Linked DNA regions of Arabidopsis thaliana. The protein of the gene in region 1 interacts with the protein of each later gene in a pairwise test. Each region holds a gene or a part of one and is shown in the gene's direction. Other genes may lie near its edges. The genes, in order: APRR2, CML11 and CAM8.

What was found.
Region 2: the proteins of APRR2 (region 1) and CML11 interact in a two-hybrid assay, tested with the Arabidopsis thaliana proteins (one study listed by BioGRID).
Region 3: the proteins of APRR2 (region 1) and CAM8 interact in a two-hybrid assay, tested with the Arabidopsis thaliana proteins (one study listed by BioGRID).

The regions. Positions count from the first base shown.
Region 1 is NC_003075.7:9,998,732-10,011,328, reverse strand, and holds APRR2 (CheY-like two-component responsive regulator family protein), read left to right. Parts: upstream 1-3,709; 5' UTR 3,710-3,936; exon of another isoform or gene 3,937-4,175; intron 4,176-4,553; 5' UTR 4,554-4,646; coding exon 4,647-4,794; intron 4,795-5,276; coding exon 5,277-5,426; intron 5,427-5,522; coding exon 5,523-5,569; intron 5,570-5,650; coding exon 5,651-5,728; intron 5,729-5,813; coding exon 5,814-6,284; intron 6,285-6,367; coding exon 6,368-6,508; intron 6,509-6,592; coding exon 6,593-6,847; intron 6,848-7,055; coding exon 7,056-7,121; intron 7,122-7,230; coding exon 7,231-7,305; coding exon of another isoform or gene 7,306-7,338; exon of another isoform or gene 7,339-7,414; coding exon 7,415-7,591; 3' UTR 7,592-8,483; downstream 8,484-12,597.
Region 2 is NC_003074.8:8,121,230-8,131,224, reverse strand, and holds CML11 (calmodulin-like 11), read left to right. Parts: upstream 1-5,293; 5' UTR 5,294-5,389; coding exon 5,390-5,692; intron 5,693-5,778; coding exon 5,779-5,859; coding exon of another isoform or gene 5,860-5,871; exon of another isoform or gene 5,872-6,801; coding exon 6,802-6,939; 3' UTR 6,940-7,205; downstream 7,206-9,995. Other genes in the region: AT3G22935 (uncharacterized protein), read right to left, coding at 95-492, 759-834; AT3G22920 (Cyclophilin-like peptidyl-prolyl cis-trans isomerase family protein), read left to right, coding at 7,814-8,512. UniProt on the Arabidopsis thaliana protein: Potential calcium sensor.
Region 3 is NC_003075.7:8,390,519-8,400,726, forward strand, and holds CAM8 (calmodulin 8), read left to right. Parts: upstream 1-7,193; 5' UTR 7,194-7,281; coding exon 7,282-7,360; exon of another isoform or gene 7,361-7,444; coding exon of another isoform or gene 7,445-7,469; coding exon 7,470-7,627; intron 7,628-8,048; coding exon 8,049-8,129; coding exon of another isoform or gene 8,130-8,177; exon of another isoform or gene 8,178-8,187; intron 8,188-9,340; coding exon 9,341-9,478; 3' UTR 9,479-9,708; downstream 9,709-10,208. Other genes in the region: GLP9 (germin-like protein 9), read left to right, coding at 2,402-2,531, 2,624-3,162.

The DNA.
Region 1 (12,597 bases):
ACTAGAAAATAGATAAAGAAGTCTAAACATCCTAACCAACGAACTATTGACCTAGTGGTAAATTTCTCGGGTGAAGGTAGTAGGTTCAAGGCACGTTAGAAGAAATCTCTTCTCCAAAAAAGATGAATTTAACTTGGTGTGAATTCCGCCTCGGAATGTAGAACTTTTGGAGTTGAACTTCCAGATATTAAAAAAACAAAAAAAAATCATTTTAAAGATAATGAGTTCCATGGCGAAGATAAACCACTAGAACTGGCGGAAAGTTAACTGATGACATATCGTCAACCACCTTGAGATACATTGCCTTACAAGAATAACAAGATTCCGTCGAGTTTTGATAATCCTAACTTGCTTATAAAATGCTGAAGCACCCATTCCTTGAAAAAGGAGGTCACAAAAATGAGAATAATATTCAAACATAAAAAATAGTAGATACCTAATTACTTTTGATAGTTGAAAATTGAAATCAATATGGTATACAAAGGGAAAAGAAAATGGTACACAACGGAAGAGAGGAGCCGTGATTAATTTTTTATTCGGCCAAATCACAAATATAGAGTAACACTGAAACACGTAAATTATCTCAATGAACGCTTTTAGATTACAAGACACGTGAAATGAAAAAAGCTCTTTCACGACCACGATCTTAAGTTTATCTTGTGTCGGACTAATAAGATTTGAATGATTCAACAAGTACTAGTAACTACTTTTAAAAAATTTCATCATAGTAACCTTAGAAATTAAAAGCAATTATTTTAATCTCTTTTAATCATAATATAACGCAAGAGATTTCAAATTAGTTTCTTCCCCACTGAGATATATATAAAAAAACTTATCTTTTTATAAGTAGAAATAAAAAGACGAGTTGAAAATTGTGTGGCTAAAACTAAAAGAGAATAGCATTGGGACACCTAAAAAGTCAGAACTTCATTCAATTACATTACATATACAACACATAAATATGACAAATGTTAGTTGTCTATTTCATGTGGAACATGAAGACTACATAAATATATATCTCATCGTTTTCTTTTCCAAATTGTGTTTAAAATGTATGAAAACACCGGTATATATTCGATTTTATTTTTGATTATTATTCTAAAACCAAAAACCAAAAAGATTTGAACTGAAACTAAACTAAACATTTTTTTTGATAAAAATATATTAAACTGTTGTATCGAACAACTCCTAACAAACATAAAGCAAAACAACATAATTTATTTCTTGATTGTAAGATTTTGTTCATATTTGAGATTTGAGTTACAAAGACCACCATTTGAAATCCGAGGCAAAACTGTGGGCTATTCAGTATTTCTTACGTTACTTTCATAGGCTCATATATAAATGTTTTTGTTTTCTTTCTTATTTTGGCTCAATTAAATAAGCTGTTACAACTTACCTCGATTGGTCCGTTACGTACAAGCTTCATAAATACAACGTTGAATAAGTTCTTCACAGTGACCAGCTCAACTAAGGTAAATGAGAAACGGAAGAAAGCTGAACTTAAAGCTAAGGAACGAAGACAGACATTTACCTTATTCATCTTGTGGAGAGGAACAAGTAAAACCTTTCGCATTGCTCCTATCTCATTGAGTATGAGAACTGATAGAACTCCAAACCATGATAATTGCTCCAAACTATTCCTGAAAAGCCGGTATATGCAACATAGTTAAGATACGCATAGTCATAGACTAAATACTTATTTGATAATAAGTTTTAATTCTCTCCGTGTTTTAGCTCTCGGGTTTTGTTTGGCTTTTGATGTCTGAAAATGTTTTTTTGTCAACTTATTCTCATTTTGCGAGTGACGGTTTAGTGTGTCTATTAATTATCTGATTTGTCCGGTTTTGGTCTTCGATTTGTTTGGCTTTTGTTTCTTGAAGGTCCGGGCTAATTTAGTCGGGTCATGTAGGTTTCGTTTATTCAGTTCATTTAGTTTTCAAGTATTTGTAACCTGCCTTTCGTCAACACATCCAAGTATCCAATATAATCTATTAGATGACCAAAAAAAACAAAAAAAGGAAACTTGTAATTTACAAAGCATAAACATTATTTGTTGATGTGAAATCTCTAGTTTTGAGATTTACTTCTACTCCAATCTTGAGTCTTTAATGTCATTATTTTACTCCAATTTTGATGTTCAATTTCTTGAGAAAAAAAAACGTGTATTATGTATTATTGGAGAATTTTTTACCGAATATCTCTTTAGTATCGTAAAAGAAAAATGTTTATCCTTGCATACATAACATATAATTTGCTCATACGGTTTTTATAAGTAATGAAGCTTTTTATTTTCACCCCCAAAGAACAAACATCTGATCATCTCCAATTTTGACCTCAAAAGAATACGATGAAGTTTGAATAATTATGTTAAAAGGAAAATAAAATAAAAGGATGGTCACGGAGGAACGAACAAGCGAAAGCAATGATCATTCCAATGAGTAAAAAATGACCATCTACTAACGAAAGTTTTCCATTATATTATGTTTTTGCCTTTTTTCAAAATAATCACATTGGTGAACTTTTTGTAAGAAAATTTATACTATTAAAATTGAGTAAGAATAATGACATTAATGACTACCAATTCATAACTTTACTCTGTTTTAAAATAATAATCACAATTGGATATGGTCAAACTAAAGTTTTCCATTTGCCGTTACAAGAAATGCTATATAAGTTTCGTTTGGTTGTTGAATATACCTCATTATGAATTTAGGACAATCAATGCTATTTGTTTCATCTGTAATTAATTATATCTAACAATCAATTAATGACAATAGAAAAGAATAATGTGTTTACACTAATTCTGTATTCACTAATCTAGATTTTTGCGCAATTTGAATTTTAAAGTTTAGTGTAAGGTTTTTTTTTTTTGGGTGCACACTGAATATAGTTTAGCCTAAGTAATACTAGATATATAGTAGTAAAAGGAAATAGGTTTTAATTAAATTAAGAAGTTTGGTTAAATTCAACTGTTGCTTTGAAACCACACACACATGTCATCATAAAAGTTGGGCAACGAGTTTGAAAGATGGAACCTCTGCAAAATAAAGTTTTTCTTTCCCTACCTTATGCATATATAATTATTTTCCACAAACATAGTGTACCATCAATAAAAATACATATATGATCTATATTTTGGCATAAAGTTTTCCATTATTTTCTTGTGATAATGATTATGGTAAAGATTTTTAGTGCAGATTAATTTTTTGGTTATTAGATTATTTGTTCTTTAAAATGCAGAAACATTGTTGAAACTTAGAACCAAATGAAAGCTGAATATTGCTTGTTTTTTTTTTGTTTTTTTTTTCACAATATTGCTTGTTTTAGTTTGTTATGTTTTCATTTACCATTCATTTAGTAGAATATATTCATTAGTTAATAAAAAAGCTTTTAAAAGAGTTTTCTTATCATGTTAGTTCGGTTTACTTCGCACCGTTTTGATTGGTACAAATGGGTATAGTTCTATACCGGACAATAAATTTTGTTATATTTTTGTAAAATTATTGGTCTACATTTAATAAAACTAGGCTAATTTTGATATAATGACATATTAAGGGATTTAGATTTTTTTTTTTGGTAAGGTTTAGATTTTTTCTTGTATTGTTATAGGAAATTAATCCTATATATTGATTAATAAAGACAAAAATAATAATTAATCCTTATCTCTTTTTTCCTCTAACCTCAGTTAACCTTTATCTTAGTAAGACTTTTTATTCTCTTTATCTCTGTGCATAACCCAATGACAAGAACAACACTAGTCACCAACTTATTATAACTCTTCATCCATTTTCTCTCTCTCAAAGTCACCCCCCAAATTTTTTTATTTTTTTTTTTAACTTTGAATGTGACTCAGGATAGAGAGAGGGCGAGACAGATAAAGAGAGCTTGAGGAAGGATTTAAGCAGATCTGCAAGAAACACTCTCTCAGGTAAGGTGAGAACTCTAAAATATGAATTTACTCATTTGACTTCTGAATTGTGAAAGTTTGTTTGTTTGGTTTTAAATTTCCAAAGCTTTTCTTTTGATCAATTACATGTTCATTGCATGTGATGTGAGCATGATCTCTTATCTGGATATAAGATCTTCTCCTTCTTCTGCTTATGGAAAGAAAAAAACATCAGTTTTATCGAAAGTGCAACTTATGATTTGATCACAATTCTTTTTCTCTCTGGGTATATATCTCTCTCTCAATTTCCCTAAATTCTAGGGATTTGCCTTTCTCCTTCATTAGTTGTCATAAGCCTATGTTTTAGTATTTGTTAAAGGTCATTAGTCTGTGTTGTTAAGTTAACTAATCACTGCATGCACGAGTTAAACAACACTAAACTAATAATATATTCACTCTTAAATGATTCAAAAGCTTTGTTAGATTTCATGGCATGGTGGTCCACTCTTTATAAATAACAAAATCAAGTTCCTCATGAATTATTCTTATCTCATCAATAATACACACACCTTTTGAATATTTACTTTTCTTGTATCTTTATTCTGTCTAATTTTTTTGTTTATTCTATTCATTTCCCCTTTTTTTATTAATAAAATCTAGCCAGTGTTTACTTTTTTTCCGTAGAATCAAACCGGCGGCGACAGTGACGGCGGCGAAAAGCGGCGGTGTTGGCCGCAAAAACGATGCAAAACCAGCTATGGTCATTACCGCTAACGATTTATCAAAATGGGAAAATTTTCCTAAAGGACTTAAGGTTCTTCTTCTCCTCAACGGCTGTGACAGCGACGGAGATGGCTCCTCAGCCGCCGAGACTCGATCAGAGCTCGAATCAATGGACTATATCGGTAAGCCACTAATTTTCCTCTGTTTCTTACTTTAAAGGTTATTTAATCAGTGGTTATGCATAAATATTTAATCATAAGTTATGTGAGTGAGACTATACTAGTTTAATATTAGAGTTGCTTTAGCTCTTACATGTCCCGTGACAATTCTAAATTGTATCGCCTTCTATTATATTTGCATAAATACACACAGACATACACAGGTATAGATTGGTCAATAGCCTATGAATAGAATTATACCATTATTGTGTATATATATAGGGGGAAAAATAATATTAATATGTAAAATGCAACGCTTTTAGTTGATACGTACATAAGTAGTAAAAGCTTGTGCAGTTATGTTTTGGACTTTTGTTAGTTTATATTTATGAACCAGGATCCAAATTATCTCGAAACTGTTTATGGATTTCTGTGTGTTTTGACTATCAAACACATAATGTTAAGATTATAGATTCAATTTTTGCTTTTTTGGAACTTTCTTGCAGTTACTACATTCACCGATGAAACTGAAGCACTCTCTGCGGTTGTCAAGAACCCGGAGAGCTTCCACATTGCCATCGTCGAGGTGAATATGAGCGCTGAGAGTGAGAGTTTCAAGTTTCTTGAGGCTGCCAAAGACGTTCTTCCTACTATAAGTTTGTGAACCTTTTACAAGTACCCTTTTTATTTTTTCACAAATCTTTACAATACGAAAAGATTGTTAAAATGTGGATTCTTTTATGTCTTTACAGTGATTTCAACCGATCATTGCATCACTACTACAATGAAATGCATAGCGGTAAGTGATTGCGACTTGCATTTGCGTAGATGTATAAGAATGTTGGTTATGTGATGATGAGAATTGATAAGTGTTTTTCAGCTTGGTGCAGTTGAGTTCCTACAAAAACCGCTCTCACCGGAGAAATTAAAGAACATTTGGCAGCATGTTGTTCATAAGGTTTAGTTAGTTTTTTCGCGTCTTTAATTCCTCGGTAATATAATCATAATCTAAGAAAGTTGTTGTTACATTTTTATGTTGCTAGGCATTCAATGATGGTGGAAGTAATGTTTCGATATCACTTAAGCCAGTGAAAGAATCCGTTGTCTCGATGCTTCATCTTGAGACCGACATGACAATCGAGGAGAAAGATCCAGCGCCATCAACACCGCAATTGAAACAAGATTCACGGTTACTAGACGGTGATTGCCAAGAGAACATAAATTTCTCGATGGAAAATGTAAATTCCTCGACCGAGAAAGATAACATGGAAGATCATCAAGACATCGGTGAATCTAAATCAGTCGACACTACAAACCGCAAATTAGATGACGACAAAGTGGTTGTCAAAGAAGAGAGAGGAGACAGTGAAAAAGAAGAAGAAGGTGAAACCGGAGATCTCATAAGCGAGAAGACAGATTCAGTTGATATTCATAAGAAAGAAGATGAGACTAAACCGATTAATAAATCATCCGGGATCAAGAACGTGTCTGGTAACAAAACTAGTCGAAAGAAGGTAACGTTGTGTTTCTCTTGACGCTCCTCAGTGCTAAAAGATTCAAGCTCTCGTTATCATTGTTACTACTTTCTTTTCTACAGGTGGATTGGACACCAGAGCTGCACAAGAAGTTTGTGCAAGCAGTTGAGCAACTCGGCGTTGATCAAGCGATACCCTCGCGGATTCTTGAGTTGATGAAAGTAGGCACCTTAACAAGACACAATGTAGCTAGTCACCTTCAGGTAATTAGATCCCAAGGGTCGAATGTTTCGCAAGATTTCTGAATTCTTGTAAAATGTTACACAACTTTTGAAAATTTTGACCAGAAATTTCGGCAGCATAGGAAGAATATTCTTCCAAAGGATGATCATAACCATAGATGGATACAATCTAGAGAGAACCATAGACCAAATCAACGTAATTATAACGTTTTTCAACAGCAACACCGTCCCGTGATGGCTTATCCCGTTTGGGGTCTTCCCGGTGTTTATCCGCCAGGAGCGATTCCACCTTTGTGGCCACCGCCGCTGCAGTCCATTGGTCAACCACCTCCGTGGCATTGGAAACCACCTTATCCAACGGTAACATCTTTTTATAAGTCAAAGATTCTAGCTAAAATAAAATAAATCACATTTATCTGTACAAGAAAATGTCATTACATATCTACAAATTAAACGATAAAATGAACTCATACCTATACATTTTAGCTAATGCATTCTCTATATAGACATATTTTGTGACATTATGATAGAACATCCATAGCTAAATCGTCCATATATGATGTTTCAGGTGAGCGGTAATGCATGGGGTTGTCCGGTTGGACCGCCTGTGACCGGATCATATATTACTCCTTCGGTGAATATTTTCACAATCTATAATATTAAACTTTATATTTATGGAAATTTAATCATTACAAAAATCTTATTTTTTAATTTTTAAAGAGATTTTTGTTTTTTTGTTGCAGAATACTACCGCCGGCGGATTTCAATATCCCAACGGAGCTGAAACCGGCTTCAAAATAATGCCGGCGAGTCAGCCGGTTAGTGTCAACAATTCTCTATTTTCTTTTTAAGACATAAAAATTCCTAATTAATTAATAAAAAATAAAATTTGCCGGGTCGGGTTGCGATGTAAATGGGTCGGGTCAGGACGAGGAAATGTTAGATCAAGTGGTTAAAGAAGCGATAAGCAAACCGTGGCTGCCGCTACCGCTCGGGCTAAAACCGCCGTCCGCGGAGAGCGTTTTGGCTGAGCTAACGCGTCAAGGCATCTCAGCCGTCCCTTCTTCTTCTTGTCTAATCAACGGCTCTCATCGTCTCCGCTGACGTGTCCATGATGAAACAGAACCCGCAGATATGATGACGTCATGCGTGGCGTACTTGTCCGTGTCTGACGATCCGAAGCGGGAACTGATTCGGATCCTGAGAGTTGTTTTTTAATTGTTGTTTTTAATTTTTTGTTGTCATAAAAACATTTGTCTCTATTGGTATTATTAAAGAAGATCGGACGGTGGAGATAGAGGCAACGATGTTAGTCTGAGGACCACAAGTGGACTCTGCGGCTGTAAGTAGATCTCGGACACGGGATTTTGACAAGTCGGAATCTGACGTGTGTGCGTACTCGCTTTTGTGGGTTGTCGAGAATTTAATAGTTGACACTGTTTTAGGTGGATATGAGATATGATGATGATAATAATAAAAAGGTACAACTCAAAGATTCCGTGATGACATTTTGTTCTTTTTTTCTATAAATTCCAAGATACACACAACAACAACAACAACAAATATACATCTTTTCTTTTCTTTTTTTGCCAAGAACAAATATACACTTATTCACATCGGACATAAAATGTTTTACATTACTTAGATGTGTTTGGATTTCTATTTTTAACTTATGTGATACATACTGATTGCGTTATACAAAGCACAAGAAAGTGCTAACAAAATTATCGAAGTAGACAAATAGAGAGACTACGTTTTATATTGGGCCTAAAAAGAAGATGTTCAGAATTGGGCCTCGTTGATGACTTTATCGCAGCATAATGTCCAGGGGATAACATTTTCAGAAGATATCAAGAGAAAAGAGTAATGAGTATGACAATATAAGTGGAAATTTATTAAAATTCGGTAAAATGTATACCAAAAAGAAAAATCAGAAGATCCTACGAGCTAGAAAACAAACAAATATTGCAAATATAATATCTGAAACCAAGTGGATGTATAATTGTAAAATCGCTTGCAATTTTATATATATATATATATATATATATATATATATATATATATATATATATATGATCATGTGAACTTGGAGTCTTATTAGACACGTTATTTTATTCGGTGGAACTCAACTAGAGACTAACTATTTTTGTAGAGTTTACGAACTTATAACATGCTTATTATACCAAATCACATGATTCAGTTTATCTGAATAGGCTGTTTTTACTCTAACCAAATTGTCAACCAAAATAAATTTAAACAAGTTTTCGGAACAGAAGATTCCCCTCAAAACATACAAGTCATATTATTTTTCTAGGACATTTTTTTACCAATGCATACATAATTTTTGGTGTGTAATGCACGAATTCGTAATCGTATTTTTTCTTTTGTCGACACTTCTCTGTATATGTCTGGTTAGCTACAAATGCACTAAACATTTTCACATAATTGATAAAAGAAGTGCATTGTGGACCAAGAAAAAGAAGCTCAATGGTGGAGACTGCAACTCCTTAGCCGTGTAACATTGTTTTTTTTTTGTTAAAGTAGCCGTGTAACATTGTGACACACATATTTCAGTTGTCCACAATTTCTAAGTGCTATTGTGCTTCTCTTTTACTTCTTTTCCCCTTTTTTTGGCGTCACTTTTAACTTATTTTATATGTAATTTGCCTTTTATTACAATGTATAAAAAATATTCTCACGTGAGCGTTCAAAGCATTTAAACGGTCGATAAGAAAATTTTTGAGCGTCGGCATCATTCACTCAAAGACATTGTGAAAGCCACGAATACAATAGAAGAAAGTGCGTTTTAAAATAACATGAACACTCTTACTTAGCAATGAATATAACAAGTTCATGGCGTATATGCTATATATATTTTGAATCATATTAATTGCTTCAAACATTACAAATACTCAGCAATCAACGTTTGATTTGTATTTTACAACGCTTTACTCACTTCAAATGCTCTAAGCATATTTTTTTTAAAACAAATGTAATACTATTAGACAGCTAAAAACGCAATACTAGAAACCCTTGTTTAATTTCCTTCTAGACTAAGTTTTTGGTCCATACTACGAATATGTGATGATAATGCCACTCTCTTGCATGGTGGGATCTCCAATTCTCTCAAACCCGTATGGTTCTGAAATCACCAAAGTGTGGAGCAAAAGATAGTGATTTCTGATGTAGAGAGATCTCACATTCATTCTCACATTCCAATTTGTAATTTTGTATGCAAACAACAACATCACCCTCATTTTATTCCTTTTTATAATATTTTTGTAATACTATTTTACTTCAACTCTTGTAATAAAAAGCGAATATTCGACTTTATTTTTCATATTTGGGATATCACATTGTTTGCATTGCTGTAACAGATAAAGACCAATGACTTTTATTACAAATCAATTTTGTTTTGTTTCTTTTTTTGCAACTTTTGTATAAAATTGTTAGTAAGAAGATAAGCGATTAGGGACAAAAACGTCGCCGGTTGCTATGTGAGTAGTGACGAGTCAGATCAGTGGCTCACAGCTGTGTTTGTAGGTACTGTAACGGTACTCTATAATTATAACCGACATCAACCAAATTTTGGTTTTTATCAATTTTCAACCCCGACCTATTCTTTGTATCAGTCACATTTTGAACCCCAAATGACGCTTTTTCTTTATCTTTAAGGCTGATTACGATTCAAGACTTAAAAAGAGGTTTTATATAACAAATATTCCACATAAGTTTCTTTATCTTTCTGTAACGTACTAACGTGTATGTACTCTTTCTCAACCGTACCTCTCTATATACGTAAGTATGTAACCCTCTATCATTTTTATTGTAACGCATTAAGCTTTTTTCTTATGAAAAAGAGATAAACACGTTAATACTTATATAGAATAAACTTTATCTGGTTTCTTACAATTTTGTTTAAATAGAGTGTTATATTCAATAATCAATAACTTTTTCAATGTCGCCATATATTCCAAAAAAAACGTTTTGTGTTATGATCCCTACTTATGACCGATAGAAGAAAATTCAGAATTGGAAAAAAAAACATACTCTAAATAATTTGTTTTACCATCGGAGTGTTACTGTGTTAGATACGTCGACCAAAGTCCACAGGAAAAAAGAGATAAAAATTACTATTCCTAAATAATAGCTAACTCAGCCCTAGATCCACTGTGCCTAAAACCATAAGTCCAAATACGCAAGCCATGCAACCAACAAGTTGAATCTATAAAAGACACAACAAATCCAAGAATAGCAATCCTCTGCTGTTTAAAATGTTTTGACATTTTATTCCTCAAACAAAAGAACAAAGCATAATTGTGAACTTGTAAGATGGACGTAGGGCCGAGTAATCACTTCACAAGGATGTATATTTCGTTTTTGTTTTTGCTACGTCCCAGAGCTAAATAGTTATATGCTATTGTGTGGGTCGTACGTAATTAGTTCACATACTTTTACAATTTGAATGATTAGGACTGAGCTGTAAAAGAAAATGAAAGTTGAGATCTCTTCAAGTTTGATTTTCTAAAAATTATGGGGTCAACTTGAAGGTTTAACTCAAACATATCCATCGTTAAGTGTTCTCCCTTGGGCTCACGAGGGGCCAAATATATTTACAAACTCGTTGGTACAACACCGTACACACGCAATTCTCACTTTTAATATGTTACACACACATATACATATATGTTACACCACACATATTGCATTACACATGCACATATAGTATAATAATATGTGTAATGTAATATTTGGGTGGTTTTCTTGTAATATCTTTCTCTAGTAGACCTGAGATCCGCCAGTACTTAAGTGTTAGGGCTATATTACTTATGTGTTACGTTAATATATATAGTTCATAGTATCAATTTTTTTTTGGTTCAACAATTCATTGTATTAATTTTCAATGAAAGTATCAAAGTTATTGAGTTTTGATTAATTTAGAAATTACGTTATTCATCCGCAAAACCTATATCCGAAAATATATATACATTGGATCAATTAGGTTATAAACTTATGATACTATATATGAGATTTTTTTTTTGGGTGGTGAAACTATATAGTATTCCTCTTATCTTTTGTGTTCTCTTACAAATACATAATTTGGAGCTAGCAGTTTATACTTGGAGGAGAATAAAAGCAGATAGGAATAAGAGCACAGAGCTAATTAGTACAACCCATACGTAGGCAAAGAGACACAGAAGACTAGTTTGGAGTGGGATCATGGAAGAGACCAAACCAGAGTGTTATTGCTGGATTAGAGACTGAGGCTGAGGAAATACAGCTACCCCAGTGACAAGACTACCCGATCAAGACCCGATAATTAATATAATGAGTTTGCAAATTAAAATCAATTGATAATTAGTGGTGATCAATTCATATCTCTTATATATGTTACAAATAACATTTTGTTGTTGTATCGAAATATATAAATATTGACTAATCTGGTTAACATTGAACTTGGTAAAATGAAATGGTTGAATAATTGAAAAAATGAGATTATTCAGAAATACATATTAGATGTGAAGATTACACATTCCATTGATGGTAGTAGATCCATAATAAAAAAAGTGTTTGTGATTGTTTCAGAAGAAAATAAAACAAAAGATATTGTAGAGATATGATAGTTATTGTAAATGCTAAATGTAGAGGTGCGTTCATATGTTAAATCATATTTTATTTCATATGTGAAATTCTAACAAAAAATATGAATATTTAGATATATAGTATCATTAAACAAGTGTAGTAGTAGTTAATCCCAAATGAAAATTTAGTCTAAAGTTTAAACAAATCATGTTGGACATCCTATATTGTGAAAATTAAAATATAAGCTAGTTAAACATAAACATGCATATTAAGACGATGGATCACCCTACTTCATAACTGTAATTACATATCAAACTATGAACGATTCTTGTTAAGAGCTCCATATATTTTAATGTGTAATATATATAGGATAAGGTTTCCATTGTCTAGATAATAGTATAGGTACGTGTTACATTGATATAAGCCATTTCTTAGAATATAAAATTTCAAGTATATGTGTGAAGACAAACGGAGTAGTCATTATTTGTATGTCACTAGATTTTGTAGGTTCGCCCCACTATGAGAAA
Region 2 (9,995 bases), on another chromosome or scaffold:
ATTTAATTAAACACAACATATTATTTTATTCTTCATTAATTAATATAATATTACAATCGATAAACCAAACATAATAAAAATAAATTACATCGTACTAATTCTCAGAATTAGTATATTGCGACCACAAATGTTTAATTAAAGCATTTCTAAGTTCAATATGAGCTTCTCGGTCTTTAATTTGTCGGTGCCGAGCCAAAAATTCTTGAAATCGAGTATCATCATCACCCGTCATCTCAACTTCTTCAATTGGAACTTCGACCCGTTCTTCAATTGGTGCATCAATATCACGCTCATCTTCGATGATCATATTATGCATTATGATACAAGATGTCATTATATCATGTAATATTGTTTTATTCCATAAGCGTGATGGCCCCGTTACGTCATCTTCATCATTTTCAATCAATACCGAGTCATCACCTTCCCCTGGTATGAATTCAATTGATCTAAATATGGATAGTGAAGATGCCAATTTTAGTTTATCTTCAAGGCCTATGAGTTTGAAAAAAGCAAAGCGAAAACAACAATCTGAAGAACAGTTTAAACAACTTTTGGAGCAAAATGATAAACTTATCAAAGCTATTACTAAAGGTACTTCTGAAAGAAATGAAATTCAAAGGCAGAAGATCGAGGTAGCTAGAATGAAAGAAGAGAATAAAATATTATTTGCAGATTTGAATTCTATAACTGATCCATCCTCTCGTGCATATATTGAAAATGAGAGAAAAAGAATTTTGGAAAAAAGAGCGCAAACAAACCAACATGAAGAAGATGGTGAAGGCTCCCAATATCATGGATCTCAATATCGAGCATCTCATTATCAAGAAAGTCCATTTCATGGAAAACAAGTTCAAGGAGAACCGGATCAAGGTGAAGACCAAAGATCACCAAATAACCAAGAAGATTTTACCCAATATTATAATTATCTTAGCGGAACCGGAAATAATTTTCCTTAACCATTTGTGAAGCTTTTGTTATGTTTTTAAAACATATCTCGTTGCATTTAGTTTTTATGTTTGTGTGGTTTAAATTTTTTAATTATGTTATAAATGTATAATTTATTTTATTGTATTTTCAATCAACTTCGGTATTAGTTTTAATATTTTCTACTAATCCATCATTTTATTACATTAAAGATTACAAAAATAGTACTTATAAATTATTTTTTAGTTACAAGCCTTAGTTAGATTACTTAAATCTCATTACAAATCATATATAATCTATTATAACTAAATAAGCTATTTTAATATATAATAATGTTAACACAAAAGAAAAAATTATTATTTTAATATTTGCCGTGGCTATAATAGTGCACCAAATATAGTGTTACACTGTAAAAAAAAGAGAATCACACTATTATAGTGCAAATTATACTGTCTGATTGGAGTGAAAAAGTAAACATGCCCACGTTATTTTAACGTTTTCCCGTGGCGTTGGACTTGGCCTAACAACTCCGTTGGAAGATGAGAGATCGTCATTGCTTCAATCTGACGAGCAAGTTTCATTTTTTACACGAATTGGAGTTTGTTTGGTAGGGTTCAGAGAATTCACAGAGACGAAGAGGAAAAGTTGTAAACGAGGAAGGTCGATTAAAGGTTAATGGGCCTGTATACCAAATGTTTAACGGCCCATTATGGCTTTCTTCACTGTGTTATTTTTGGTCATTAAACGACTGTTCTTTGTTTATAAGCATAAACATAAACCACATTTAACAATCAAAATTGCAATTTCAAAGAAAAATAGAGTTACTTGGTGGCATGGTGGGTCAGCTAGTATTCGACTGACAATGTCAGTTTCTATAACCTTTTCAAGAGAACGAAACTACGTTTGATTTATCAATCTTTATAGCAATAATCTCCGTACAATATTACATATGATGAATCTGTAATGCCATCTCTGAGTCTCGACCACTCATTAAGATCTTGGACGGGTGACAAAAGAGTGAAACCGCGTACCAAGCTGTGCGAGCTGTTTTCTTTCCATTTTTAATTTCAGTCACTAAAAAAAGATTAAGGCCAAAGACAAATCAATTGTTGGATACTGAAATAATTTAATTATTCGATTGTTTATTTATTTGATAGAATATACATCAAATTAGGAGAGATCAATTCGGATGAACCACACACTTCTCATTGTCAATTTGACATTTTTGAATTAACCAAAAAAGAAAAAAAAAAACTAGAGAGAAATGATGAAATAGTGTTAAATTGCGTACGTCAACATGATATGTACAAAGGACCACGAAATCCATCTACAATATTTGGACGACTTTTAGAATTTCGTCTATCACAATTCTCATTTGTTTATCATATTTTCCATTTCTATTTATAAACATTAAGTGACGAAATTTTTATTCATACTCATTAAGAACTAATCGGTATAACATAAACTGTATAGATGTTGCTCTTTTTTATAGTCTTCATTGTAAAAAAAGAAAAGTACATGTTTTGACTTCAAACTAATCATAACCAAAAGTTTTGACAAAATTGATTAATGAGGAAATAATCAGTGAATAGGTCCATGAGTCCATGGCCATTAAAATAGAGAGTAAACCAACTATATACTGTATGATGAACCGGTCTAAATAATATAGATTTAAATGGCAAAAAAATCCCATTTTTCAGTCTCTTTGATCAGATTGGGATTAGGTTAGACCTCATATTTTAACCCTAATTCAGATGACAAGTACTCTAACTAAATCTAACTATTATTTCACATCATTATGTAAATGTGTACTCAAAAACACACTAGTACGATTTATAGTGTACCTTCTTAATATATACGGCATTAAATTGTTTTCAACCCCTTAAAAGATGCCATTCAACATCTACAATAATCTTTGCGGGACAAAAAAGGTCAAATACAAAAGACAAAACTAAAAGCAATAACATTAATTGGGTCATATACAACTTTACATTTAGCACTTTTGACTTTACAAAATCAAAACGCATCCAAACACTATACGTAAGCTTGTGTAATAGTTAGTGTAATGATAATGGTACCATAAAGCTAGCATTACTAAATTATATCAAGACCATGTAAACAAGAATACGGTTGATTATTTAAATTGTTGTGTACAAAAGTTATTAAATCACTAAGTTCTATCAAGACCATATCAATCAAAAAAAGAACTTGCTCATTTAAATGATTGTATATTCGTATCGTTATCGTATGCATCATTTCCTCCCTTTAATATTTTCGAATATCTACATTCTAGTCAAGTCAACATGTTGCGATGGAGGAAAAGTTCAATAGTATTGAATTTAGGTCTTGGGAATCACCAGATCCCTGTACAGTTGGAATTTTAGTCATAAATTTTGTATAGAAATAAAACCATAATATATGAGGTTCAAATTCTAATAGTTTAGGATTCAATGCGATCATTTAACACTTCGAAATCCTATCCGAGTTGAAGTTAACTTCTTCTTTTTTTGGACAAATTTAAAGATAAACTTAATTTCCTCTTTTGTATAGGTAATAGGTTAAAGGGGTTAAGAAATTGTTTCAGGTTTACGTATTTCATATGTAGAAATATTACTGAATCATATCAAAATGTCTTTTTTTTTTTGTGTGTCTGATTTTGGTCCAGATAGATTCTGAATTGTTTTAATCACTCTTACGCATTAGATTCTGTCTTTTTTCCACAATGGCTAATTTGATTAAGAACCTAAATGATTGTTTGCGACACGGCCAATTCAGCTTAGTCAACAAGTTTAAGCATGCATTTAGATGTCGGTATCATTATGCAAAGTCTACACAAAATGGTGTGTGATTCGTTGAAGCTGAGTCAGCTTTTAATTTAATTAGAAAAGTCTTTATCTACACAAAGTCGCAAACTATTAATAGTAATATGAAAATATTCTTAGATGAACTTTGCAAATTGCAACACCTTCATACAATTTCAAATGTAACTTACATAATCAATTAATCAAGTACATTTTAAAAAAAAATATTTTGTAAAAATTATAATTGTGAAACTTAGGATTTTTTTTCTTTCTGTCGAACTATATTTATAGATTATAATGCAATAACTGAAAATAAGATTACAAGAAACAGATTAACCACAAGATGTACATTTTTCTTGGCAACATATATATATATGTGTAGAAGATTCAAAAAGTACGATTTGCTTCTAAATAAATGATGGTTGTTTTATCAAATTACACATTTATTCAAAATAAATCAAGAAAATGACTAAATTGAGGAATAAAAGAGATCGACACGTTTTCCCGTAACGCAAGTGCTCGGTCTACCTATTTCAATGCTCTTTGTCTCCTCGTCATCTATCTTACAGCTGTTGAAACCCACACCCATTTATTTTACATATACACATACTTCATGTTTTTATAATTTTTTTTTTTTTTTTTTACTATAACAAATTACTACATACTCTTCGTCTATTCCTTGGGTTTCACAAAACAAATAGTATCGTTTTTGAAACTCTACTTTCATTTCACAAAAAGTAATTTTGTATTTTTAAATCAAATTTCAAATTTTTTCTCTATTTTTAATTTATTTAGAGAAGAAAAATTAGTTTGAATATTGTAACAAAGAAAATTGTAAGTTTTTTTCTTATTTTAAAAATTTACGTAAAAATAGTAAAATAACACTATTTAAACAGAGAAGACAATTCACAACCCATCTGCATAATGTCTTTGCTTGGTATTATATGTATTTTGTGCGACAAAAATTGTTTTTTTTTTTTTTTTACCACACTATAGTAACTTTCAAGAATATTGACGTGATTCTGATCTTCAAGGCTTTCAAGTTAGCCGTGTATAATAAGAAAACAAATATATAATATTACGAGTACAAAAAGAATTTTTAAAGAGTTTCAATCAAATTACTAGTTAGCCTAAAAATATCCCTTTCAAAAAAAAAAAAAGCTCTAAGTTCGTATAAAACTTTGTTAAAGGAAATAATATTTTGAATCATGTGACTGGAATTAAAATTCCAAATAAATAATTGGGAAATTTACTAGGGAGACCCATATTTTAGGTTTAATTACTAGAATGATATATCAAAAATGTGAGTTATATGAGTAATATTTTGGTCTAAAATATCCTTTATTTGCTTTGTTAGGAAAAATAATATTACAGGAATGCCATTATTATTTAATTTCAGCATGGCAAAAAGAATAATTTTATTTACGAAAATGCCACTCCAGTATTTTATTTCCAATAATTTGTGCAATATAACTTTTAATGAAAAGAAGTGGAAAAAGGTGAATGAGTCCAAAGCAAGAAAGTCGCAAAGACTTCTACAAATAAGAAAACAGAATGAGAGTTGAAGCACTTCAAAGCTTTTCAGCTCTCTCTCTTCTCTTCTCTTCTCTTCTCTTCTCTTCTCTTTTCTCTCTGAAGAAGACTACTAAGCAAGTTTTAATTGGATGGAAGAAATTCAACAACAACAACAACAACAACAACAACAACAACAACAACAACAACAACAACAACAACAACAACAAGAACTGACGCAAGAACAGATAATGGAGTTCAAAGAGGCTTTTTGTCTATTCGACAAAGATGGTGATGGATGCATCACTGCTGATGAACTTGCCACTGTGATCCGCTCATTGGATCAGAACCCTACCGAGCAAGAACTTCAAGATATGATCACTGAGATCGACTCCGATGGCAACGGCACCATCGAATTTTCGGAGTTTCTCAACCTCATGGCTAACCAACTCCAGGTTCAATTCTAAAATGTTACATCAATGAAGCATATTTGTTTTTAACATATATTGATTGTTTTTTTTTTGTTTTTTTGTGGTTATAGGAAACTGATGCAGATGAAGAGCTGAAAGAAGCATTCAAAGTGTTTGACAAAGACCAAAATGGTTACATCTCTGCCAGTGAGGTAAGCAAATAATTTACTCTTTCTTCTCTTAATTCTAATTCATACTAATACTCCTTTAATTAATGATTGGAAGCATAAAAAGGAGTATGTTACTTATGTGTTAACTGATTGTAGTATTATTTTGTCTAGTTTCGTTACATGAACCAATTTTTCAAAAAACAAATAGTATTAATTTTTTATTTTACTTGAGTTGAGTAGAACACAAGCTCGGAATTTAGATTTATGTATTTTCTTATTTTTATCAACAATTGTGCATTTAGTTAGAAAATGACAACAAATTGATAGCTAAATCAAGGTTAGAATCTTTTGAATTAATGAAAACATCAGATCACAAGTCTAGACGATATTTCGAGTTTTACAAGAGATCCTTTATGTGTCTTATTCATAACTTGGAGCAGAAAATGACAACAAGATATGGCTAATTATGTTTTTCTTAATTAATTGAAAAGTGTCTTGTGTCGTAAAAAGCTAAATTGTTTGAGGCTTCGAGCTAGCTGGCATTATGACTTTTTGGAGATAACGAGGTCAAAAGAAATATTTAAAAATATTGATAACATTTAGTAAAATGTGTTTATGATTCTATTGGTTTATTGGGCAGAGCATATGTCTCACTTAAGCGTAAATAATATGTTTATACTTTCACACCCAGTTTCTTCTTCTTAATCATGCATTTTCGTTCGAATATATAGTTCAACATTTTTGCTCTTGGAATATAAGAACTCAACAAAGACTAGTATTCATCTATTACATTTATTTTTACAATTTAGTTAGAGTTGCTCTTTTTTCCCTATCTTTTTGTTTCTGAATTTCATAGATTTATTTATCTACAAAAACTATTCGACGGACGATATCTTATGCATTGGCCATGATCCATGCTTAACAATAAACATCATTAGTAGATAGTAATTCTATAATCTTTGTAATTTTGATATATAATTACAGTTGAGGCATGTGATGATTAATCTTGGGGAGAAGCTAACAGATGAAGAGGTTGATCAAATGATAAAAGAGGCAGATTTGGATGGTGATGGCCAAGTCAATTATGATGAATTTGTCAGGATGATGATGATCAATGGTTAAAAAATCCTAATCATTTTTACTCTTCATTGTATTATCTTTTATAAATTTGTTTAATCCTTCTTCTTTTTTCGGAATATCGCATTATAAATTAATCTTAAGCTTTTATATTCAATTGAACAAGTAGATTTTTCTTTTAGGCGTGTGGATTCTTACTATGTATCTGATGTATAGTGTGTTTCTTTCAGTCGATGTGAAGTTTGTCCAAATTTTAGTGCGTGACTTTGACCAAGAGATATATATGCTTCTATGAGACGAATAGCCGAATATAATCAACGAATAAGCCATTTACAAATTATAACCAACCAGTATGGACCAATGGGCTGAAATATACCAAGCCCAACCAGGTTTAGCATTATACAACCGCTATTTATACAATTTCAGTTACAACTACAAAATTGATGTAAAATAAATTTTACTAGTTCTTTCCCCACTAATTTGTTTTAGATTTACATGTGATCTAAATATATATACTATCATATCATTGAGTTCAACCATACTAAAATAATAAGAACTAGAGATATGATTTGGATGAATATATTCTTCATCACTTCTTTTTTTTTGGTGATCGAAAGTACTGTATAAAAAGAGATGGATTCACAAATACTTGGGCTTTAATTATCCAATATGAAATTGTTATTATTGACTAGCAAGTTTCTCTGAATTTTAAGTTTTTAACATTACTTAAAGATTTTTTTTCTTTATTGGGCTTATAAAGCCCTTCAACTGTTGGATTTAGTTTTCCTAAACTAAATAGCAATTGTACAAGGAAAATCTATATTATTGATATATAAGAACTATTTGCTCCATTATGGTATTTACGTTATAAAAATTGTGCTAAACCATAGAAACCCTAATACTAGATTTCTCTCCGACAATGGCTAACCCTAAAGTTTTCTTTGATTTGACCGTGGATGGCAAACCCGCTGGTCGGATCGTGATAGAGCTCTTCGCTGACTTGACTCCACGGACGGCGGAGAACTTCAGGGGTCTGTGTACCGGCGAGAGAGGCATCGGAAAGTGTGGTAAACCAATCCACTACAAAGGATCAACCTTCGACCATATTGTTCCCGATCTCATGTGGTGTGGAGGAGATATCATCTTCGAAAACGAACCCATCCACAGCGAAGAATTAGACGACGAGTACTTTATCTTGAACCACGAAGACGGTCCAGGTATCATCTCCATGGCCGACTCCAACGGATCTCAGTTCCAAATCCACATGAAGGACTATGGCTTGCAAGTGGACGGTGATCACGTTGTGATCGGCAAAGTTGTTGAAGGATTGGATCTTATGAGGAACATTGAGAAGGAGGTCATAACTACGACAACAAGGACGCCTTCAAAGCCTGTGGTGATCGCGGACTGCGGTGAGCTTTCAGATTATAGGTCAGAAAGATGTTATCTTATGAAGAACATTGAGAAGGAGGTCATAATTAAAACAGCAAAGGATAACAAGCCCGTGGTGATTGCGGACTGCGGTGGGCTTTCAGATGATAGATCTGAAAGATATTATCTTATAAATATAGTTGTTGCTTGCATGGTTTTGATGTGTTTTTGGTCTTGGTTCGTTTAATTTAGTTTTAACTTTTGGAGTTTAAGATAGCTAGCCTATCAATGAATGATAAGCATAAATTTTAGCTATTATTTGCTACTAAGAAAATCTGTTGTAAGCTCATAGAAGATATTTGCCATAGCATGTGTTGCTTAATATTTGGGTGTTTTGGTGTGTTTCGTGCATTCCGAGTTTGGTGTTCCCGTTTAAATTGGCTACCATTTAATATTGGAAAAATGTTTATCAGCTACACGAAGTACAACCGAACACATTGTCACACATGCAAATTTTAAAAATGTCTCGTTAGTTATACGAAGTATTGACATCACATACAGACATACACGAACAAACATAAGTAATGTTGCCAACACCATAATCATCATACTTTGATGTTTCGATCATCAAAATCTGGCATTGACTAATGTTGACCAAACAACATATTCATTTTTTTTTTAATAAATTGTGTTCTCAACTTTGTTCGGAGTTAGTTTTCTAAGAAAATGGAATTAGATTTGATTCAGTTTCTTCTACTTTTGGTAGGCTAGGATAGGAGGCTCCTTCGTTAGCATATATATGGGTATTATTCCGTTATCGTTTCGGATCAATCTTTTGTTCTTTTTTATGACTGAATAGTATAAATCTGAGCGGAATATTTGAGAATTGAAGAGCTGTTAAGGGGAATGATTTGATTTAGGGTTATATTAATTGTTTGTTGTGGATTAATGGAGTTGATAAATAAAATAGCTTTGGTTAGTTTGATTTTTTTAGCAGTTGGTGTTCCTTTAGTTAGTAGTGTTTTCAATTTTGATGTAGTTCCTTTTTTATAAGCTTAACAAAATTTTGATCGCAGATCATACAAATTACAAAGGATTGATTTACATCTAAGGATACTTACGCAAACCTGTGTACGCTAATGAGCTGGGAAGAAGGACCTTTGAAATGATCAAATTAGCTTTGCTAATGTAATGTAGAGAACACTATTCTTGTTGACAGTTTTTACTTTCTATGATGCTAAATTTTATCCGTGTGAATGGAAAAGCATGCTTCTATTGCAAGAACAAAACATCAGCGTCAGAGACTCAGAGAACAAAAGTGGACCGACTATACATAAGCCCAATACAAATAAAATGACTTTGGTCAACGGACGTTAAGAATTAAGAATTGACTTATATATAATTTGTAGTCAATAACAAATGACCACAGATTCTTCCACATTGGATAAGTTATAGTAATATGCTTCTTCTTTTTTATAATTGTTATTGCAGTAGCGTACTATCGAAGAAAAGTTATATGAACGACGGAAGTCTCAATTATAAACAAAAAAAAAGAACAGAATTTTTTGGGCCCCATAAAATGTTTATGATATGTATTTTTAGGGACTTCTTTTTTATCAAGAAGTTTTCGATTTCGATTTCACAAATGTCCAAGACAAGTTTTCGATTTCACAAATGTCCAACAGCCTAAAACTAAACCTGAATGGTAGATTTTACATGTTAAATTTCAC
Region 3 (10,208 bases), 1.6 Mb from region 1:
CTCTCAAGCTACTACTCTCAAATCAGTGGATCATCATCTTCACAAAAACGAAGAAGAAAAGAAAAAAAAATATAAGTGACGGTTTTCTTAACGCTGACGATTTTCACGGGAAACATGACGACGATTGTCGGAAACAGCGTTATTAGAAACAGTAATGGAGGAAATAGTCACCGGAATATTCATTTTCCCGGCGATTGATTAAGGTTTTTGAGGAAAATCTAAGAGTAATTTTTTTTTTGCTATTGATGAGAATTTCGATTTTTGTTTCTTCTTCTGGTTTGGGGTTAAAACGAGATTGGTTGATTTTATAGGTGCAGTGTGATAGCTGAAGCTGAAGAGGTTATTAAAGAAGAAGCTGACTAGACACGATGATGCCACGTCATTTATATTACGTGATAGAGCAAATTACCGTTTAATCCTCTTAGTGGGACGGTGTGGTTTGATTTTTTCACTTTTTGGTTGTTATTATTATATTTCAGATTTCTTTTATTTTTACTGCTAGTAGTAATTGTGGTAGCTTCTTTTTATGGAAAAAAACTGTCAGTGAAAATTGTAATAATGAACATTATTACAGTTTTGTCTTCTTTCTCCACAGCTCCACTACTGTGGCGTGGAAGATCGGGCATATCTCTTTCAGTCATCATCGGGATTTTCGGAATTATTTATTTATTCTTCTGTTTTTATTGAATTGATGTAATTAAAAAGGTTTAAATATATAGACACAGCTATTTTTCGCAGGAAAATTAGTGATGTTTGTGCTAATAAGAGTGGACCACGTAGCAGGAGGGAAGTTGATCTTTTTACTCCTTCGTTGTTGAATTGCAATTGAATTTGCTTTTTATATGTTGTTAGACGATCGATTAAAAATGTATAAAAGAGATTGCACAGTCCACTTAGTTTCGCGTCTTGGTAAATTCGGGAATTGGATTGTTTCGTTTTTTTTTTTTTTGTCGGCCAAAGTTATTAATGTAAAAGCCCAATTGGCAGTATAATGATGGAAATAAAAGCCCACATTTCTCCGTTCATATATTTGTATTGTTTTTTTTTTTTGTTTTGTGTGGATCCCCAGTATTACGGATTTGGTTGGGATTTGGGAAGTATTTGTAATTTGTATCTTGAAATCTTTGTCGTGGCCTCTTTGGTTACTTGTCTTATTTCAATCGGTCAATGAAATAATTAACAAAAACAAATTGATTAGAAAACTCATTAGTACTCGAAACATATATTTGTAGAACTTAAGTGAGTTATAAGAGCTACAATGTCGAAACTAAAAAACTTTGGTGAAATATAAACACATGAGCTAGCTATAATATACAAACTGTATGTCCGTGTACATGAGATAGTCAGTGGTGAGGGGAAATAATCCAAATTTTGTTTTGATATGAATCCGATAGTCGTTTTTGCACATCTTATAGGGACATGATCAGACATGATGTTGAGTTCTTTAAGCTGTCAAAACAAAGATATAATGTTTTGTTTGTAATCTTAATATAAAACCAAAATCTTTCAATGAAACTTCACATTATCTACTTTACGCTATATAACTATACAACTATATATATATATATATATATATATATATATGCGTTTAAATTTCACAGTATCTTCTTATATGCGTTTCCTAATCTCTCTACAAAACTAGGATATTCTTCCGTGACAAGTAAGTAGTAACAGCCTCTCTCTTTCAATGATCAGTCTATTAACATCTATATATTGATATGGTCATGTTTTATCGCTTAACGAATCAAGCAACCCAAAACCACCAAAAATTCACATTTGACATTTGTCAAAGACTCTCAATGTCAACTCTAAAACTCATGCAAATAAAATAATCAAATATTCTCAAAATCATCAGGTATAGTTCATGAAAACCTGAGAAACAATCATATTATTGAATAAACCCTCTTGCAGTATAAGTAACTTATATAACTCTATCAATGCCGACACTTAACATTTTAAATTTCAAGTGCCTCCTTTTTCAGTTGAAGATCTTTTGTGTGTTTAATTAAGATACTACTAACGTAAACATGGTAACAAGATAATGTTTTAAATAACTCCTTACATAATACGACTTGATGCAACACGGTTTAGTTAAAGGTTTACCATTTCAAACTTCGAGATAATGAAAGCTACACTTAACAATGGTAACAATACAATAATTTAAATAATTCTCAATATAATATGACCTGAGGGAACACGGTTTCAACAGCATTTTACCGTTTCAAACTTATAGACAATGAAAATTACATTGGAATATACATACATATGGACTTGTTCAAACCGAAAATCATCTATAAATTGAACTCTTTGTCTCATAAATTTATCACATCTTCATTGACACCACAAATAAGAAACTAACAAAAACCTTTTTGTCTTCTACAAATCGTCTCCATACATACATATGACGATAAAAAGTCTCTCTTTTCTTGCGGCTCTATCTCTCTTTGCTTTGACACTTCCATTAGTAATTGCTTCCGATCCAAGCCCCCTTCAAGACTTTTGTGTTGGTGTCAACACACCAGCAGATGGCGGTAAGCACATGATCATTTTTTAATTTATTAAATATATTTGTATGTTGATTTATGCATTACTAATACTCTATTTTTATCAAAACCTTGTCTAGTGTTTGTGAATGGAAAGTTTTGCAAGGATCCAAGGATAGTTTTCGCGGATGATTTCTTTTTCTCGAGCCTCAACAGACCTGGAAATACAAATAACGCGGTTGGGTCCAACGTGACAACCGTCAATGTTAACAACCTTGGAGGACTAAACACTCTTGGTATCTCACTTGTTCGTATAGACTATGCACCCAACGGTCAGAACCCACCTCACACCCACCCACGTGCCACCGAGATCTTGGTTGTTCAACAAGGAACTCTACTTGTAGGGTTTATCTCATCAAACCAAGACGGAAACCGTCTTTTCGCCAAAACACTCAACGTGGGTGACGTATTTGTGTTTCCAGAAGGACTCATCCATTTCCAGTTCAACCTAGGAGGAACTCCAGCAGTTGCAATCGCTGCTTTGAGCAGCCAAAACGCAGGTGTTATCACAATTGCTAACACAATATTTGGGTCTAAACCAGATGTAGACCCGAATGTTCTTGCAAGAGCATTCCAAATGGATGTTAATGCGGTCAGGAATTTACAAGCCAGGTTCTAATAATGTAATAAGAAATATAGTCTTTGGAATTACTTTATTAATACAAGCATGGTTCAGCCGTACTGTGACATGTATATGATGTTGGTTGTTGTTTTATCTTAATAATATTTTGGTCATTGATTAATTAATTTTCTATTTGTGTTAAACTATTAAGCATGTTGTGCATAACCTTCGTGTTTCTTCAGGAAAAAGTTAATTCTTGTATTATAAAATTAACTAAATATAATTATAAATTCATATTACTAATAAAAAACATGAATTTAGATACACAAAAACTAATCTATATGTGTGGGTAACGAAATGTTTTATAGTAACAAAAATGTATATCATTCTTTTACCAGTATTTTAGATTAAATTTAAATAGAAAACAAAGAATAACATGTGACCTACTCATGTATTTTCACAAAAAAAAGTTTAAGTATTTTTATTATATCCAGAAACAACAATAATTTATGAACTTTACAAGAATGATGATATTATTTTTGCTTCTATGAAAACAATTATTATTATTTTTGGTGGGAATGAAAAATAACTAATAGTTTAGAAATACCTAGAATGTTTAGAAAAATTTAACGATAAGTTTGACCCTCCTAAAAAATATTTATGTCTCCGCCATTGGGTGGAGAAGAGATCAGAGTTACTGTGTGACGATAGAATAATAATACCCAAACAAGGAGAGTTAACAATAAATATTTCTTAGATTGATTTCCCCAAATGGATAAAGCAGCGTTACAGAATGTATGCAAGGAAAATCCAAAGTATTTCAATACCCAATCTCAATAATGCAAATGTGAGCTTCTCACTGAAATTTTCTTCTCTCAAGCATTTAAATAAAATAGTGCAAGAAAGAATCATCAAGAGTTAACTATTTCCAAAGACGTAAAAAAGTTTTGATTTTCATTTTGCCAGTAAGTAGCAAAGTATCGTTTTTTTCACATATTTGTTTAGCAAACCATAGTCCAAGACCCAAGAATGAAAATGTCTTGGTTGAGAAAATCAGCAGATTAATAGGCTTGTTCTTAGACGCATAATCTAGCAAATGCTTTACGCAATTAAGCAGATATATAGATTTTTATCGAAGCTTTCCCCAAAACATAATCTCTCAAATACAAAATCATATATAACCGCTGGTTTAACCTACATTTTTTATTAGTTACTGAAAATTCTATACAGTGGTTACAAATACGAGAGGTTTTTTGGGATTAAAAAAACTCAAGAGTATAATCTGAATTTTAACCTATAATTTTAGTGGCAAATATAAAATTTCTTCTCTCATAGTCTCATGTTATTTGTTATGTGAATAAGCTAAAGCTCATTTTCAAACTATGCATTCTATTCTTTAAAAAAAGAAAGAGAAAAACCATGCATCATATTTCACAAATATCTATCAGTTCTAATATCATGTCGTGTCGTTTTTCTTAGTCAGAATATCTAAGTTGACGCTTCACATTGAAGACAAAATCAATCCTTTTAGGTTTCCATTGATAGAATGCTTAAAGCTTACAACTTGAGTTTCAGGATGTTTAAATACAAAGGTGGAGACTTGGCTAAACCTTAGAGAGATTTGACAGATGTCATACATCAGGTTGAGTTTTCTAAATCAAGGGTTGAGAAACGATTCTCGAGCTTAATGTTGAACTGCTTTCCCATACAAGAAGTCGTTATCTCCTTATTGCCAGCTCCACTTTTGTCATTACTTGAGGAAACTTCTAAGCTCTGTTTGCTTGAACCAGATGACCGTTGCTTCCACTTTTGTTTCTTGGGCTTGGTTTGTGCTGAGGCCCATCAGTTTCATTTTCCTCTTTACTCCATTAGCCGAAAGGACAACGTACTTCGTTGTCTAAATATTTTGTTGTAATTGCAATGACATAAAACAAATATTCGTTAATTTCCCTATGTTAATTCTTTTAATTAAAGGGGTCAAAAAAGTATTACTAAAGTGAGCTATTTAAGGTTGCAAATATATTTTATCTATATTTTAACCTGAATTATTTTCCCACCTAGGAAGAGTAAAAATGCAAAGATTACTAATGAAGAAAAGCCCCATAATTTTGTTTTTTTTTTTGTTTTTACAATTCGTTTCTAGAAACTCAAAATATGAAAAGTTGAATCGTTTCAAAAAGAAATTGCTGGTTCGTTAATTTGCTACGTCTAATCGTTTATTTATAATTATTTTCTTATATCGTGCTTATGAACTTATAATGCAACGTATGATACATGCATTTCCCCTACTGTTCGAATACCAATTGCAGATTCAATGCAAGTCAGCAAGTATCTCCTAAATTATTTCTTAGCAGTAGATATTCTTCTTAATGATTACAATCTTTTAGCAGTAGATATTCTTCTCAATTATGATATGTGACGTGGAATATATATTTTCATCTGTTATATAAAAACAGTCGCAATTATTCAAACAAAATGTATAGGAAAATAAATAAGTGGTGTGAATATGTGATTCAAATGAATCTGTAATATTCTCAAAATTCCTACCTCCGTGAATTCTAGAAAATGTCGTCGATCGGAACAAATTTGAAAATAGAATGATTTGTGTGGATAAACTTTTAAATCATTGTGTGGGAACGCACGGATTCTACAAAATCATGCTGGCCAAGTTAAGCTTCATAGCCTTAATGCATTCACAGCTATGGACAGTCGAGTTGTACGTTAATATGTCTTCTATGGACAGGAGCGGGTAAGATGGCCAATGAGGTCATTATGTTGAGATGTACGTAGACAAATTTCAATGTTGTTCTTTCTGAGTATTAAAAGAGTGTGATCACTGATTTTGAAGTCAGAAAAAACAAAAGAACATGTTTAAAGCGTCAAGTTTATCGCATCGTCTCGGTTCTCAGATTGTGTATTTGGTAGCTGCGGTGGTGGCTAAATTGCGGTCTCTTTTGTTGACATCACTTGTATTTCTTGACTAGTTATTTGTGCTACCTGGTTTTGAATGTGTCTTGCTAGTGCGGTTCTTCATAATTGAAGTTAGTGCTGCAATGAGTTATCACCTCTTGTTGCGTTTGTTTTGTGTTCTAGAAGAGTTAGTAAGATCGATGGTGTTCGATGTGGTTATGAATCGCATAAATCATGCTCTGCTCTATCCGACTTTGGGGAAAGAAATTGGTAGATGGAGCTTGCATCGTTCGCATAATTTGGTTCTTGAGGTTCCATATTATTGGAAAGCTTATGGACTTGAACAACGAGTCACTGTCACATGACGCGAGAGGAGTTTATGCCAGAGAACTTTGAGTTTCTACCGTTGACGGCTCATCCTTAGACCTCCAATTCAAAGTTTTTAATGCAAATAGTTTAGCATTATGCTTTTTTCAAGCAGTAGTTACCCTTCTTCTTAAAAAAACAAAAAACAAAAAACTTAATTATAAGATAAAATTTCAAAATAGTCATATTTTTATCTAACTCGTTCGGCTTCAACGCTTTGGTTGAGTTGATTGACCAAAACTTGTGAATCACGATGTATGCTTCTATGTTTTATTTTTCTTGTTATAGGATCATTTGTATAGGCTTAAAATCTTTTGATTGTAAATTTATATTTTTATCATTTCAATAAAATATTTTTATTTTTATTTAAGAAAAAACAGAAAAAAACAAAAAACAAAAGAACATAATTGTTGCGTACAAAATGAGTGGCTAATGGGTTTGAACTAGACAGAAAAAGTTAGGGACGTTTTATCAAAGACTATTGTAGGCTTATACTTGTTTGTTTTAGGACTTGTCGTTCTATGTCTATTTGTAGTAGTCTCTACTTGTTAGAATAAGATGATTTTTTCAAAACTAATTTTGCACAAGTGATTTGAACTTTAACAAACAGCGACAATTATTAATTTATTATATGGGATTCAGCCATGTGACTAGAATTAAATTGTTCAATCCAAGAGTTCTAGACCCAAAAAAAAAACAGTACTGCCCTTTCAATTTAAAATAATTTGAGAATCAATTAAAGAGCTTAAAGTAGTTGAAAAGTACATAAGTCCAATGTAGAAAAGGTCTTGTCACAACTCTACATATAGACCATAAATCAGAGATTTAAGCACTTCAAACCTTGAGCTCCCTCCTCTCTCTCTCTCTCTCTCTTTGTCTTCAAAATATTCTCAGAAAACAATGGAAGAAACAGCACTGACAAAAGATCAGATCACTGAGTTCAAAGAAGCCTTTTGTCTCTTCGACAAAGACGGCGACGGTTCTCTTCCTTTCTCTAGATGGTCATATATAGAATAAAGATAATAAAGACGACGACTAATATTATGTTGTGTGACATTTATTTATGGTTGTTTGGAATCCTTTAATAGGTTGTATAACGGTGGAAGAACTTGCAACAGTGATCCGTTCGTTGGATCAGAATCCGACAGAACAAGAACTTCATGATATCATCACTGAGATTGATTCTGATAGCAACGGCACCATTGAATTTGCTGAGTTTCTCAACCTCATGGCCAAAAAACTTCAGGTTCCACTCTCTCTTGATCTCTCATGCTTATTTATTTCACAACTAATTACATCAAGTTAACGTAGCCACGTACAAACCAAAAAGTTACATCAAGTGAAATTTTTTTGTCTATATGATTTCTTATATATTATGTTATAGGTCCCTTATTGTAACTCTTTGATATGGGATCCTAACAGGTTCTAGTCAAAATGGAGCTGTCTCATTCATTATGCTTCTAGTTTATTAAAAACTCTTAAGAAATATATTGGAAATATTCAGCTTTTGTATTACAGCAAAATCTGTTTTGCTTTCGGTTTTTCACTACGAATAAATCTGATTTGTGAAGAACTAGACACGTAAATGTGTATAATGTAAACAAAGACTTTTATGACAATAGTTTTTTTGTATGTTAAGTTGTTGTCATGATCATGTGATGGTTTAGGAAAGTGATGCGGAGGAAGAGCTGAAAGAAGCATTCAAAGTCTTTGACAAAGACCAAAATGGATACATCTCTGCCAGTGAGGTCCGTGACTCTTACTCTCTTTTTTTTCTCTCTTTATTACTAATTTGATATATGTGTCAATGTGTATATTTAGTTAGATATATGCTTGACTTATTGAGAACTTAAAAGGGAACTTATGCGGAAAATCCTCTTTAAGAACTTATAAAAACAAATTAGTTCGATGCACTGGATTGCGTTTTGTACAACGTTCTCCAATAATACCATGTACGGTCTAACTGTGTTTTTATTTGGTTATAAATGATTAGAGCTATAATTATTTAGATTTTTGTATCTACTAGAAATCCTTATCTAAATTTTGGTTATTGTCAAATTTAGTTTAGGTACATGAACCAATTTCATAAATGTCTTCTTTGCTTAAGTGGTACATGCTCTATATCTCTAAAGTGTCGTCAAATACAGGCTAAGCACAATAATTATGAGCATAGTATTTTTATGTAACCACTTGGACCAATTAATTCTGCATTAACTAGAAAAAACGAGAAATCCAGCTAAAACACACTTTCACATATGTAGAATCAATGACAAATATCAGACAACAAAGCCAGACGATCTTCCAATTTAAAGAGATCCATAGTTGTCTCATTTATGTTCTAAAACATTTTTTAACAAGACATGGCCATTTATTTATTTGATTTTATATTTTCGAAAGTCTGTTTTCCATCGTGAGGGCTTAGAGCTAGCTGGCATTGTGAATCTTTAGAGAATAACGAAGAGGAACAAAAGAAATTTTAATACAAAGTAGTTAGATAGAGTAAAATGCGTTTGATTTTATTGGTTTATTTGACAGGAGGGCACATGTTTCACCTAGTTTAATTAAATATATATACCTTTCTTTACATCCTCAAAAGTTACATTAATGCAGACACCTTTTTGCATGCAACACAATTCAATTTATTAATTTGGGGTTTTCTATATCGATTGGTCAAAACTTAGGCTAAAACCAGCTGTATTTTGCTTACAACTTAAAAAAAAAAAAACTAAACAATTGTATGAATTTGGTTTATTCATATTTTTCGTACCGAAATTAGAAATTGTTCAAGTTAGGCCGTTTGACCTACTATATTGTATTGCATATTCAAATGGATAATAAACAATTATTATTCTCTGTACAGGGTCAGACCCGTCTGATTAACATGCACAACTTAATTTACAATAATTAGACTAACAATTACGTTAATTATTTATTAATTTGAAAAGCTTTGTTATTGCAGTTGAGTCATGTAATGATAAATCTAGGAGAAAAGCTAACAGATGAAGAAGTTGAACAAATGATAAAGGAGGCAGATTTGGATGGTGATGGCCAAGTCAATTATGATGAATTTGTCAAGATGATGATCAACATTGACTGATTACTTTTTCTAAATCTATTTATTATATAAGCCAATGATCCTTAATTACCTTGTTAGTTGTTACTACTTCGTGTTCACACCATCTCAACAAATTCTCCATTATTCCACATTCATTGAAATTTTCAGATCCAGTTTTGTTTTATCACTTGTGAAGCTGTCAAATCCAATATAATCTCTATATTATAGCTTTCTCTATATGATTTTGGAATTCTGTTTATACATAGTTTGTTTCTATATTATAGCTTTTTCGATATGATATTTTTCTTCTTCTTGCAATCTTTGATTATAGGTGTTTCAATATGATTTTGGAATTATATTTAGCGAATGAATACGAAACACAATTTTTTTTGTGGAAAATGCAAAAAATCTTAAAACAAAGCAGCATATTGAGTTTATGTGAATGCTAAAGTATTTGGATATTATTTTCCTCATGAAAGTGAGGAGTTGAACTCCTTCACTCAAACGAAAATATCTAATGGCTAAACCACTAGTCTAGACACTTTAAAGAATAATTGAAAATGATTTATGTAAAAAAAAAGAAAAGTGAGACTGTGAGAAAGCCATGCCCATATAATATTTAGTAAGAAAATAATAATAAAATTACAGGTAGTAAAAAAATTTCCACACTTTATCAAAAACCCCTCAAACAGAAAATCCCAATTTAAGTATACAGAAAAGAGAAAACCCAATCCACACTTTCACTTATTTCCTCCCAATTTCTCAGAATAAT